3 linked regions of the Saccharomyces cerevisiae S288C genome follow. Changing the gene in region 3 together with the main gene of any one other region gives a genetic interaction. Each region holds a gene or a part of one and is shown on either strand. Other genes may lie near its edges.

Evidence for each region.
Region 1: mutations in PMD1 (region 3) and YIR016W together harm fitness more than expected from each alone (negative genetic interaction), as found in Saccharomyces cerevisiae (2 studies listed by BioGRID).
Region 2: mutations in PMD1 (region 3) and ODC1 together harm fitness more than expected from each alone (negative genetic interaction), as found in Saccharomyces cerevisiae (2 studies listed by BioGRID).

Annotation. Positions count from the first base shown.
Region 1 is NC_001141.2:380,954-384,072, reverse strand, and holds YIR016W (uncharacterized protein), read right to left. Parts: upstream 1,446-3,119; coding exon 648-1,445; downstream 1-647. Other genes in the region: MET28 (Met28p), read left to right, coding at 1-517; ribonuclease P protein subunit RPR2, read right to left, coding at 1,691-2,125; VLD1 (Vld1p), read right to left, coding at 2,259-2,987.
Region 2 is NC_001148.4:297,942-301,037, forward strand, and holds ODC1 (mitochondrial 2-oxodicarboxylate carrier), read right to left. Parts: upstream 1,563-3,096; coding exon 630-1,562; downstream 1-629. Other genes in the region: iron-binding protein ISU1, read left to right, coding at 1-109; gluconeogenesis transcription factor RDS2, read right to left, coding at 1,947-3,096. UniProt on the Saccharomyces cerevisiae protein: Transports C5-C7 oxodicarboxylates across the inner membranes of mitochondria. Can transport 2-oxoadipate, 2-oxoglutarate, adipate, glutarate, 2-oxopimelate, oxaloacetate, citrate and malate.
Region 3 is NC_001137.3:424,541-432,306, forward strand, and holds PMD1 (Pmd1p), read right to left. Parts: upstream 5,910-7,766; coding exon 648-5,909; downstream 1-647. UniProt on the Saccharomyces cerevisiae protein: Negatively regulates early sporulation-specific genes. Seems to exert its function by positively regulating the Ras/cAMP pathway. Required for growth under alkaline conditions. Acts synergetically with MDS3.

The sequences.
Region 1 (3,119 bases), on a different chromosome or scaffold from region 3:
TGCAAGCAGGAAGGGTATGAACGTGAACAATCTTTCGGAACATCTACAGAACCTGATATCAAGCGATTCAGAGCTGGGCTCGCGCTTGCTATCATTGCTGCTGGTTAGCAGTGGCAACGCGGAGGAGCTCATTAGCATGATAAATAATGGCCAGGATGTCTCGCAGTTTAAGAAGCTCCGCGAGCCGAGAAAGGGGAAGGTTGCCGCAACAACAGCAGTTGTTGTAAAAGAAGAGGAAGCTCCCGTGAGCACTTCTAACGAACTGGATAAGATTAAGCAAGAGCGGAGAAGAAAGAACACAGAGGCGTCGCAGCGGTTCCGCATTCGCAAGAAACAAAAGAATTTTGAGAACATGAATAAGCTGCAGAACTTAAACACGCAAATCAACAAACTTCGCGATCGTATAGAGCAATTGAACAAGGAAAATGAGTTTTGGAAAGCAAAGCTCAATGACATTAACGAGATTAAGTCTTTGAAATTGTTGAATGACATTAAGAGACGGAACATGGGCAGGTAGCCCGCGAAACGTGCGGGCCTGATGTCTTGTTTTTCCTCTCCAACTTCGATTTTTCGATTTTTCCGTTTCTTTACCTAGCATATATATACACACATCTATCTACATATAAATATATATATATGTATATTTATTATTTATAGCATTGCGCGTGAGACAAAAGCGAGATCTTTTCGTCCCACTCCGCATTGATCAAGGACCGTTTATATTCCACAGACTCTATCTCGCTGGGAGAGCACCATCCTATAGTACGAAAGTTTGTAATAACTCGAGCGTACTGAGCGTCTTCCAGTTGTTGTTGGCGGCGTAAAGACTGCGCGGCTGCAGATGTGACGATAAATCTCTCGGAATCTGGGCGGCTAGCGGGACATACTGAATGCGTATGTTTGTCTCTGGGCATACTGTTCCTTCGAAAGAAAATACTCGAGGCTTTGGCAAGAAAACTGAGTTTTTCTTGTTCTGCCGGAACGCTAAGGCTTCCAGTTATGTCTTCGCGGCCAGATTTTCCTTGGTGTAAGATTGCAGATATTGCGCTCACAGAACTACGGTGCCGCCGACTTTGAACGCGCGGGCTGGACGATGATGACGATGACATATCTAGAGCCTTGGATAGGTCTCGCGACATGGAACTGTCGTCGTCGTCTTCATCATCGTCGTCGTCGTCGTTCCTTGAGGCGTCTTCGACTAATGACGGAGCATGGATGGCGCCTGCGCCATCTCGCGATAGTGTCATGTACTTGTGAAAAGCCGCCGAATCGTCATCCACATCATCATGTGGACCGAGCAACGAGGGCAGCAGACCATCTATAGAACTTCCTCGCGAACACGGTCCTGGCTCTACACCTGGTCCTTGTTCATCATGAGTCAAAGTTTCCGTAGCAGTCACATCAACTGGTAGTCCGACGCCTAGCAAACACCTCGTGCCACTCATTACCGACCACAACACCTCCTTGCGGTGTTTATCCGCTATGCTGGCAAGACGGAATCCTACATTACCTTCTTCAAACGGGCGTCTCGTTTTTTTCCCTGTGTTTTATGTCGTAGTTTTCCCTCAAAATACAGGCACGTACCCCATGTATAGGGGCAAGGGGGTGGGGGGTCGGCTCTTAAAGAAAATCTGGAAACTCCGCATTTTTGTCCTGCTCAAAACATTGGTCCAAAACCCTACCAATAACCCTAAGAATTTAGTAGATTACCCTCCCGCTCCGAGTAGGTCCTGTAATTAGGATCGGCGCCAATATTAAAACGTTTAACGGTACCGCACCCACACATTACCGAAAGCGCTCCGTCGGATGTGATTTCCAGTTTTTTTGGGGTCCATAACAACCGATGGCATTTTTTACAAATTGTTCTCTTTATCGTAGGAAGCAGTGATGTCTTGGTTTTCTTACTAATTAGGTCCATTGATTTGATATAATTGCGTGCCAAAGGCGTATGTGCGTCTGTTCTTGCTTTCTGTCTTGCTCTTGTTTGGTAAGCGGATATTTGGTAGAGGTAGTTTAATCTATGGAAATGGTCCTGGTTCGCAATCGTCCTTGGTGGCGGTACTAGCAGAGTACCATTTTCGTCGATCTCAGGTTTCATCTTTCCTCCGTGTGCTTTCTTGCCCATCTTTTTGCTTGTCTTTTCTCTGTCGGCGATGTGGGAAGGACAGTAGAAGAACCACGTATTGTTTTATTTTCTGTTCATCTTTTTTTTCCGTTCTTTTCATTTTGGTAATTTTTTTTCTTTTCCTTTCTTGAATTTATTCGGCGATATTCAGTAGAGGAGTGATCTCTGTAGCGTCATCCCCGTCTGCCTGTTGAGGAATCGACTTGTCATGATTCTTGAGTACTATGAGTTCCGGTCCGGTTGCATCCATGTGCCAGGTATTAAGTTTGAGAATGTTGAGTGCGCCCTCTTCTTCTGCATTCAACTCCTTGACAATAAGTTTCACGTTCTGAAGACTCGAGCTCAGTGAGCCGTTTATTATTACAATCTGGCAGAAAAGTAATAAAATATCGAGTAGTACCAGAAGTAGCTTGCTAGGAAACGCTGTGGGTACCGGACAAGTAAATTCCCTTATCAAAAGCATTATCACAAATCCGTACGGTTTGGAACATATGTCTCTCGATACGTCTAGCCTAATGTGGTATACTATACAGTACGCTGTTTCTAGAAGTATTAGGCCTTGGTAATATCGTATGGCTTTGTTTATTATCATTCTTACAATAGGTGTTTCTAACCCTCTGATGGCAAGACTTTCATCATCTTCCTGATCATTGTCGCGGCCCACCTCTAAATAGTTCTTCTTCAGGTACCTGAGTGTCAATTCCTGAATGAAATCACAGAGCGATGAAATTATCCACCCCAGGAGGATCAAGAATAATGATCCATCTTTGATAAACCTCAAGTACAGGCAGCAATAAACGAATTTCTGCAAATTCGCTATCACTGACCTTTGTCGTCCATTGTCATCTTCCAAATGCAACATTTCCTTCCGATGCCCTGCTCCTTTCCCTTTCTGTATTAGCTTGTCATCTAAGCCTTCGTCATTGAAGTATCCCTTCCCTTTCTTTCCCTGGAGAAAAGCCATATGAGAAGTTTATATTACCCGGTTTAAAGT
Region 2 (3,096 bases), on a different chromosome or scaffold from region 3:
GAGCTTGCCCCCAGTCAAGTTGCATTGCTCTATGTTAGCGGAAGATGCGATCAAGGCAGCTATTAAGGACTACAAATCTAAGAGAAACACTCCAACCATGTTATCGTAATGAATAAGAAGATAACCGGGACAAGAACAAGATCAAACCCTCACTAATCAACAAGTTGGACTTAATTTGTGCAAGCATGGATGTTTCTCATTAATATTGTCATATTTCTTTCCCTTAATCTAGCATTTCCTTTCTCTCCCTCTTCTCATGCATATCTTCCTAGATATATTTCTCCAGGGTGAAAGCGGGACGGACGTGCTTGTTTTACCTCACCTGGTACTACTAGTATTTTCATTACTCTTTTTTCATCCTCCCACTTCCCCCTTATATATTTGTTTTCCCATGTGTGGTATATGGCATCATTATTATATAAATATTCTTTAGTTGTAAAAGGCTGTTTTAATTAACACTATTTATCGCTAGACAAAACTAGACTTTCATTATTTCCTTCATTTCAACGCTTGTTTAAACATGTGCTAGGTAAGCGAGTTTTTTACTTTTACTTCCAATAAATATATATATATATATACGTATACATGTATGGGCGGGCTACAACAAAATGAAATAAAAAGCGTCAGGATCATTGTTTTTTACCATACTTGACTTCTCTGAAAAAATCCATGACGTTCGTGAAAACTACCAACAATAACCCACCACCGGGGGCAAGTCTCATGACCTTTGGCGCAAATCCCTTATACAATGCTTTAAACCCTTCCTCACGGTAAACTAACAGCACTGAAGGCAGGGACCAGTTGTACTTCCTCAGCGGCCCGGAACTTCTTTGGATCCTAGATTTTACCACGTCAAATGGTGTATTCAACAAGCACCCGACAGTGCCACCAATAGCACCTGCGATCAAATCATTTCTGGTCTTTTCCGTGCTTGTTTTAGCCGCCGGCAAAAGCTTCCGAATTTGGAATATTATACCGAAATAACCGGCATTCCAAAGAACGTGTCTCCAGATAGTGGCTTCCAACCCATTGAAAAGTGACAAAACACCACCTTTCACAACACTATTCTTTACAACTTCAATGGGTGTCTTGAACTGTGAATTCACATCCTGTAATCTAATCTTCACTAGTTCAAAAGGCGCGACGACAAAGGCTTCCACGGCGCCAGCGGACGCACCACTGTATATGGCGATTTTTTGAGTCATCTCCCCATTGGGCGTGGGGAAAATCTTTTTATAAAACGTTTGGAATGTATCGTTTCCGGAGAACTTAATTGCTCTTTTCGGAGCCTCCATTAATATAGGCGATGTGATACCCTTGTAAAGATGCGAAAATCCTTCCTTCTTCACAATTTTTGTAAGACAATCCATCACGCCCGTGTAGTGATCTACTGCTGCTTTCGCTGCAACAACAGCGGGATGACCTTTGGTTGTCACTTGTAATTGCATTCTTGTCTTCACCACGTCCAATGGATACATCACCAATAGCTCCGAGACGCCGGCAATGGCACCGGCTGTGAACTGGTATATGAACGGCAAAGGTCTATTATCTATAGATGTCATCTTACAGTTCTTTTTCTTTCACCCTCGTTACAGTTCTATCTTGAGAATAAATGAGATAAAGGTTCCCAAAAGTCACTGATATATATCAACGGCGGTCACCCTCACAGAAATACCCGAGAATCTGCCCTTCGCCAAATCAGATTCAGCCAGTTCGCAGTTTTTTTCCCTATCTCTGGTCGCCGCATTATGAAAAGATCCTGGGGTAATAATGGGAATGATTTGAAAAAAAACAAATGCTGGTAGAAAAAGGTCTTCGTATTGCTCGTAGTAATACGGCTATTTCAAGTAACTGCTCGGGCCAGCGGCTTGAGGAAAAAGTAAACCCGTTACTTTGCTTTTTAATGACGCTGGAAATACCAATTACCTACTATGTATTACTTATGCTTATGACAAAGGGATGAAATTCCCGACGATGCAAATTGGGATGTTGTACCTATCCCTTCTGATAGTGAAACTAAAACAGCATGGCCGTTTGCGGATTCCATCTTTGGTTCGAAGACTACAACTTGTTAAAACAGCCTTCTGACCCTTATCAAACGCTATGGACCCGTATTTTTCCCAGAAATTCACAGCGCTTTCTTCTGTCATCAACTCGTAGATCGCAAGCTTTCCATCGCGTAAATCATCGACTGTGCAGTCAACCAGTGAAGCAAACTCTTTATTGGCTCTGTAAATCTCACCGGTACGCCTACACAAGCACGCTGGCATGCTCATAGAGGTGAAAACACGATCATAAGATAATAACATCCTCTCGAAGCTCTCCTCCACTAAAACTAAGTCAACATCCTTCAATGAACGCGCAATGGTTCTAAACGCCGGTCTAATGGTGGATAGTGGTTTCAGAATCCTTTGCTTGGAAGACTGATTCATATATTTGTCCATGTAGTCTTGTAGTCTTGCATACCCCTTGGCATAATTATACGGCTTCAATAATCCTGCTTCAAGCTTCGCATTTATGACCAACTTCAGCCGGTGTTCTGGTGTCATCTCTGTTGACGGATCCGCCGCTGTTAAAAAGAATTGTTCCTTCGGTGTCGGTGCACTGTTTTCGTTTGCATTCGCTAGAATTCGAGACTCTTCCTTTTCTTGATCTTGTTTATCCCCTTTCGAGATACTATTGGAAGAACCTGACATAATAGTAGGCGACCTATTTTCTTGTCTTGCCACTCCTATTTCATCCCTACGATTGTCGTTTTGGTACTCTAATGGCGATTGTGTGGTTTGTGAGCCATTTTCCAAATGAACATTGCTCGCACTGCTGGAACTTAGTGATGTTTGAGTCAATAGAGGATTTTCTAGCATAGAAAGAAATTCATTCAAAGAACTGAATTCCGAACCAACATTCTCGGACACAAATACAGGTTGTTGCGGAAGCAGCAAGCTGGTTGTATCATTTACAAGAGAGGAGTCTAGTTTCGGTGACAGTTCCTCTCCATATGTGGATCCACTTTTATTGACTGGTTCATTCTGATAGTCAGACGGAATTCCAGTGTGTGCTTTATTTGCATATTTGCCCTGTATATTATTATCATTC
Region 3 (7,766 bases):
GGCACCTTGTAAGCAGTCGAGAAATTTTTTTTTCACTTTTTCCTTTTCATACCTATATAAATAGAAGTGTTCTTGTCGATTTGAAGAAGGTTTATTTCGTTTCGCTGTAGTTTTTTTGTCATTGATCTTTTCATTTTTTTATTTCAAAATCCCCATCAACTATTACAGTCGATGAGGATAGGTTATAGTTCATGTGTAACATCTGTGTTTTAAAATAACTCTAGTTATCCGGGGCGTTTTTCACAAAGTTTGTGTAAGATGCTTTCCTGGGTCGATGTGGATTGTGCCGTGGCCTTTTTCACCACCTTTATAGCGGTGCTTTAACTATTAATAACTGAGGCTGTATTTTGAATTCTTACGTAAATCTTGGAATCTATGGAGCATCCAGTCTCACCTGGGTTGGCTCTGGTAACGCATGACTTGGTATGAAAAAATTGTTTTAATTTGACGAGGAAATTTTGGCATCCGTGAAGTTCAATACTTCCTTAAGTATTGGTTTTCAAAAAAAAAAATTCTAAAATTCTAAAATTCTTCTATTATACCAAAGTTATAACGTCTATAAATATCTATAACTGAAACCTGTTTTGTCATAATACCTTGTTTTAGTTGTGCTTTTTTTTGCTTTATCTGGATATTATCTAATATGTTTATCTTCGTTTACCGAAAAAAGGAAATGGGGCAATATTATCGTTATCATTTGTAGTTGCGTCTTCTTTCCTATTTGTTCTGTTGGCAGTCGCTGATCTATCCTCACAATGCCCTTCACTCTCCTTACGTCCAGTATTCACTGCAGAAGGCATAAAGGCAGGATTCATGAATAGAGCAGATGTGGAATGTGTCGTCTGAGTACTGAATCTTTTATTCATATGTTGTCTCCGTTGTTGAGATGCAGTGAAATCTGTAACGGAAGTCCTAGGTGAGATCTGAGTGGAAGGCGCCTGTGAGAATTTGATGGACGATTTCCTGAATCCCTCCGAGATCGGGGAACTTGATGCAAATTTTAAAGCTGGTCTTGTATTTTCTTGCTGTTTTAACGGTGTCGCGACATCAGAGTGCTGCCTACTTAGAGTAGGAGAAGAAGATCCGCGTGCAAAAATTGGTTTTCCAGTCTCTCTCATTTCGTCATCCATTTGTGAAATGTCTTGTAATACCTTTTTTTTTAACTTTTTCAAGACTTTGGATAATTCGATTGCTTCCTTCGTGCGCGTCATCAAGTTACTGTCATTAACCAATACAGAAGTTCTATAAATAGACTTCATGACATAGTCGACAGGTGGTAGTGCATTGGGTGAGACCATATTTTCCAGGCTAGATATATTAACATATTCCGAACCATCTTCTCTTTGTGAATTAGGTCTAATGTATTTGGAAAATGATCCATGTAATCTTGAAGAGCCTGGAGTGCTGGATCCTATTTTATATAAAGGATCAATAGAATCATCAAATTCTTGAGATGTCTGCTCCTGTAATTTTTTATTCATTTTTGTGAAAGGCAAAATACCTAGCTGTGAATCAAGGTCATCAGAATCAGAGCGGAAGGAAGAACCTGAATCACTATCAAAACTATCACGAATAAACGGGTCTGTCTCTAAATTGGATGAGTTTTGAGGTATTTCTGTTCCTCTGTTCTTCAATGGATCATTAGTGCGGTCTAAATCTTTCCCATCGTTGCTGTTTCTCTTTTGCAACGTTTCAACCTTGTATTTATCGAAGTTCGAAATGTCCTGGAGCGTAGCTTGTTCGTTTTGTTCCTCTTTATCGTCCGAAGCTCTGTTTGACTTACTAGAGTCCAAATTTTGGTAATTATATCTCGTAGGTTCTGTGGGAACTGTTTCAGTAAAACTACTACTTCTTCTTGGAAAGTTCTGTTGCCGGCTGACTGGTCCACTATCAGGAACATCATCAGTAAATTGATCGGAGGTATCTAATGGATCTGTTTCCCTACTTAAGCTGGATTTCTTCTTCGTCGCTGGGCTAAATAAGGACACAGAGCGGCGAATATTTTGAACACCCGAATTACTGGGGAATGCAATTGAACCAATCGAATTATGGCTGTCTCTAGGACCACCGGCAAAAACAGTAGGAACAGCCCTATTGGCAAGCGATCCTATGCTAGAAATTCCCGTGTGGTGCATATCTATTTCGGTTTCTCCATTACTGTCATCCGTGTAGTGTATTGATTGCGCCATTGAAGTGTTTCGCAAAAGATATGAATCAACGTATCCGTTGTCTATATTGGCTAGGGAACGTTTTATCTCTAAGGTGTCCTGATATGATTCGCTAGAATCCAACTGCTTTCTTATTTTGCCCTCATTTTCATTGCAATATCTCGAAACCTTTTGCTGGAACAGATTTAGTAGTGCTTCGCAAGTAACTGAAAGACCTTCTTCCTTTTTGCTGATTATCTTATACAGCACTTCTGTAATCAGTTCGTATAAAATTGGAATTTCGTATATTTTAGCCATGATAAGCAGGTCCAGGGTCACAGGAGCTAATAGCCATTTGCCATTAATTTGTGCGGTGTAAAAGAACTCTGCAAATGCTCTTACAGAGGCGGTCGACCAAGGCATATACAATGATCTCGGGGTTAATAAGGGTTCTAACTCGATTATGGCGTTATTGTTCGAATTTGTACTTTCTACACTTTCAGGGTTTGAAATGTAAGAAAGTCTTCTACTCTTTTCATTATTAATATATGATTTTGAAGAAAAAAATTCACCTTCTTTGAAATTGCCGTTTATATTGATTGCATTAATGGTGGAAAAGATGGGCCTTATATTGGAAGGTGAGATACAGCCGTAGTCTTGATTGTCCCCATCTTCCTCTTCATCTCTTCCATTGTTCATGCCATATTCTTGAATACTTGCTTCGTAAGGAATGTCACTGCCATAACTATTACTTAGCAGTTGCGAATCTAGAGTATTCCTCAGCAAAGAAGAGTTAGAGATACGCCTTGCATCCGAGGAGCTCGATTTTCTGGTGGAATGAGAAGACCTTCTTGACGCGACTGGACTATCCCTACCAAATTGAACGTACTCCGCCAAGGAACTGCTTCTTCTTGAGGGTGCTTTTGGCACCGGCGGTAGTGGTTCTAGTGGGATCTTTTCTTGTGGGGGTAATGGGATATTCAACACAGGCAAGATAGGCGAGTTTGGTAAACTTGCAGAGCTTCCTAAATGAGAAATTTGGTTAGAGTTGCGCCTTCTTCCTGAAGTAGAACTTACAACAGAGGCAGTGCTGGCAGTAGATGCAAATGAAGTCTGTCGCGACTGATTTGGACTTGCTATAAACCTTAATGCGGATGATTTTCTACGTGAGAAAGCTTTTTCCGCGGGACTAGCCTTTGATATACTACTGGGTGAAGATTTGGCTATAATGTAAGATTGAAGAGGGTGTGAGGCTCTCCGAATGGATGAAAAGCCGTCATCTACCGAACTATTCGTGGTGGTTCCCACTGTGGAAGCTCGCCTATAAACTAAAGGTGTATTGGAAAGTGTACAATTGCTATCATTACCATCGTTAGTTGATTTTTTATATACCGGAGGAGGTGAAACAGAGCTTGCTCGAGTAGAGCGACCAGACTGTTCTGAAAGCCCCAGCTTTGAATTTTTCATGTCCTGAAAGGGAACCCTAAAGACCATACCTGTAGAAGAGCAAGTGGTGGATATCGGCCTTTTGTTCGAGGTGCCTGTTTCTTTCAGGCCAGTATCTCCAGTTGCATGTTGTTTTAACGTGTTTGACCGACTGTCCTCCTCATCCGCACAAAGTATCGGTTCTGAAGGAGATAGTTTATTATGCGAGATGGCTCGCTGCTTGGGTGACGATGTTGATGAAGTAAAGTCTACGCTATGTGGTTTCTTAAGACTTGTATTACTGTTCGATTTACTATTTCCGTTTTTAGAAAAGTATTTTTCTAGGGATCCGTTGGATGATTGACTAGAGTTACCAAACTTGGTAGTTTTTGAGGCTGTATGAGGTGAAAAACTTATGATATTAGAAGTGTCTCCATTAAACTCATAATTGAAAGATGTATTTGCATAGCCGTTTGATAATAGTGAATCAAAATATCTCCCCCATCTTTTTCTCAATAAATATACTGGAACACCGATAGAATCACCATCAGCAGTGATAAATTCGAAATCAGATAAAGTCTTGCCGAATATTTCTAGAGCATCTTTACCTAAAACCATAGCATATGGCGGAAATATAGAACTAGTTGATTCCATTTCTAATGGTACAGTTATATATCTGGAATAGTTCTCAAATTGTGAGGTCGCAGTCGAAGTCAAGCGGGGGATCCCTGAGTCGTCTAAGGAATATCCTTGAGTTACTGTGTATGGATTTGTGTGCTCAATCGTTGATGAATTAGAGTATGGAAGATGATCATAAAGACTTAGATTTACGTTTAAGTTATGACTATTAGCGATGCCATTATTAGTGCGTGTGTGTTTGGTATTCACTAATTTATTATAGCCGTTTAACATTGGTAAAGAGAATGATAAAATGTGATCGAATTTTTGAACGCTAGGTGAACAAAAATCATCTGTTCTGGTACCAAGTAATAAAGCTTGATGATGAGACTTCCAAATCAGAAGCTTCCAAAATCTATGCATACTAATACTGCACTCAGTACATGCTATGTTTACTCTTATCCATTTTCCACTAGCGATATTATAAATGAAACAATGAAGATTGGAAGGTTGGGGGTCTGGATAAAATCCTATTACAACAATGTTATAATTAAAGTAATTACCTGAGGGATACTGCAAGTGAAAAGGTACTTGTAAAATAGAGTTTTCTTTGTTGTTTTGTGTAGGGTTTGATGTCATCCTAGCGCCCTGAGAGTTTCCAAGTAGTGGCAAAATTACGATAGGCGACATAAGTGTTTTTACTGCGTTTTCATCTGCATCATCGCTTTCAAAATACTTAAGATCGCCATGATGGTGATGGTGATGTTTTGGTAGTTTGGATTTGTCGTCTAGATCATGAGCGTAAGTAGAGAAACTACCATCGTCGGTTCCCCTTCTGGACGTGTTTGCCTCGCGTTGAGGGTAATATAATGCCAATGTCGGAATTTCTGCCTGATTATTTTCAATCAGAACTGAGAAGTTGGAATCGTGAGATAAAGAAATTGGCATCCCATCAATATTAACCAGTATTTTTGACGACCCCTTTGAAGCTGGGTTTTCGTCCGATTTCGATTCTGACTCCCATAAACTTGTACGTAGGTTAAATATATCAATTTTTTTAACAGGAATATCCATATTATCTAACCCACCTACAATGATTAGCTTCGTATCTTGATTTTCGTTATTTTCATTTAGGACGTGCATACTATGATTAAAACGTCTTGTAATTTGAGGGTTTTCACTTATCAAAGACCAGCACTTTGTTTTAAGATCTAATTTCCATAATTCGTTTGTTGCTATCAGCTCATAGCCGTTGTGAGGCGACACCATAAGCCCACCGAAAATGTAAATGTTGGATTCTGTGAAGCACATCGAATGAAACAATCTCTCTTTAAAGCTTAAGCCGTTATTCAACTCATTTTCTGATGTAGTATCTATTGTAGTATTTATTCTTTGCCATGTTCTGGAAATTAAATCAAGGAAAAATATCTCAGGGCTTATCCAATCAGCTAATGTTTTAAAATCAGCATTTCTATCCTTCTGTTTACCAAAATATAGAATTAGCTCCTTTTGCAGTTGTAATGAATTTATAATAGTCAGATTTAAAGGTAGTGTGAGCCCACCATGGACAAAAACACCTGAACGGGCTAGTTCTACTGCAGCTCCAGTTCTGCATTCCAAAGTGAGCTTCTTCCTTGTTGCTTCATCCAGATTGGGATTCGGTACAATAGGGAGGTTGAGCGGATAACAAACACTAGATGGTGGTTGTAATACGGTCATTTTTAAAAACTTTATGCTTTCACCTAATTATAGAAACGCGTACTAATGTTTTTTGTTATTGAAGAAACTGGAAATGACTAAAGAATACTCAGGCAACGATGAGCATAGCCAAAAAAAAAAAAAAATTTGTTAAAAGTGATACTGGTAACTTTAATACAATATCCAAAGTTTATGATATCAAGTTGGAAACGGTGTCGATGTGGACTTTGTTAGAGGTTAATCTGTATTTGTGACTGGGCTCTGCCAAACTTACTATCTTCTATTATCTAGGCTCAAGTAAGTAAGATGAAAAAAAGAAAAAGAAAAAAAAGCAGAAAAAAAGCAGAAAAAACAGTAAAGTGGGTGTGAGTGCACTGGAAAGCCTGTGTAATAAGTTTTTGATGTACTGTATTCCTTGCGAGTATTATCACAAAGCTCTACTGTGTTTGCACTGTGGGCGTATAGGGATATCGCGAGGGCAACGCAAAACTAGCAAGATACACATATTCCATACATTAAAGCGGTAATTTTTAGTAGTTAATTTCGAAATTTCAAACCCGGCAATGATACGCACATTAAGAAAAGGGAAAAAAAAAAGAATAAATTGGCCATAGAAAAATTCTGTTATCCACTAGACAGAAGTTTGCGTTCCATACTGTCAGAGGTGGCATTTTACATAACAATAGTGACAAAAAATAAATTTCAGAAGGAAGGCAACATAAGTTTTTCTAATCCTAAAATCTTTCGATTTTGTATCAGAGATTGTTCACGCTAATGTCATTCATCATAGTAGATCATTTATCTTTCACTGCGGAGAAGTTTCGAACGCCGAAACATGCGCACCAACTTTCACTTCTACAGCGTTTGACCAAAATCTTTTGAACAGAACATTGTAGGGTGTGAAAAAATGCGCACCTTTACCGCTAGCCCAAGAGGGCACTACAAAATCTAGAGTTGTACTTCAAACGTACATGTAATCACCTTGTATATACTCGAAAGAAAACATCAAGTTTCTGTATAAATATGAGTGAAAGCATAATCATACATTATCTTTTCAAAGATGAAGAGTGGGTGAATTTTGAGATAATTGTTGGGATTCCATTTTTAATAAGGCAATAATATTAGGTATGTAGAAAGTACTAGAAGTTCTCCTCGAGGATTTAGGAATCCATAAAAGGGAATCTGCAATTCTACACAATTCTATAAATATTATTATCATCATTTTATATGTTAATATTCATTGATCCTATTACATTATCAATCCTTGCGTTTCAGCTTCCACTAATTTAGATGACTATTTCTCATCATTTGCGTCATCTTCTAACACCGTATATGATAATATACTAGTAACGTAAATACTAGTTAGTAGATGATAGTTGATTTTTACTCCAACAAAAGAATTACAGTCAGTGGCTGTTTGCTGACATTTCATTGCTTCCCTTACAACCTGATTTCCATTCGAGTTGAAAGGTTGAGAAAAATTGCAAGACTTCTCTCTCATCTACCTTCCCCTTTTCTTGAAGACAAGGTGAGAGACAATTTAGTACTAAAGCTTTTGCGGTTGTTATTCAATTGAGGTAGATACCTGGCAAAACATTTCTTGTGAGCACAACCTCAATTAAAGTTAGACAAGTAGGTGCACTATTGGTTGCTTGTTGGCTCATCTCGTTGAGGAATGTAATAACTACTTGTTATTAACCTGTTTTTGTGCCATCTATAGTGGAGAGCTTATTGCAATTTGTTTTTTATTTCTTGACTGCATATATCAGTCTTTGACAGGCTGCATGGGGATGACAGTTAGAAACTAGCCAAATTACCCCTTATGTAGATAACAATCATTGCTTATTCGCTCTTCCCCCATTTTTTTTCTTGCTCTTG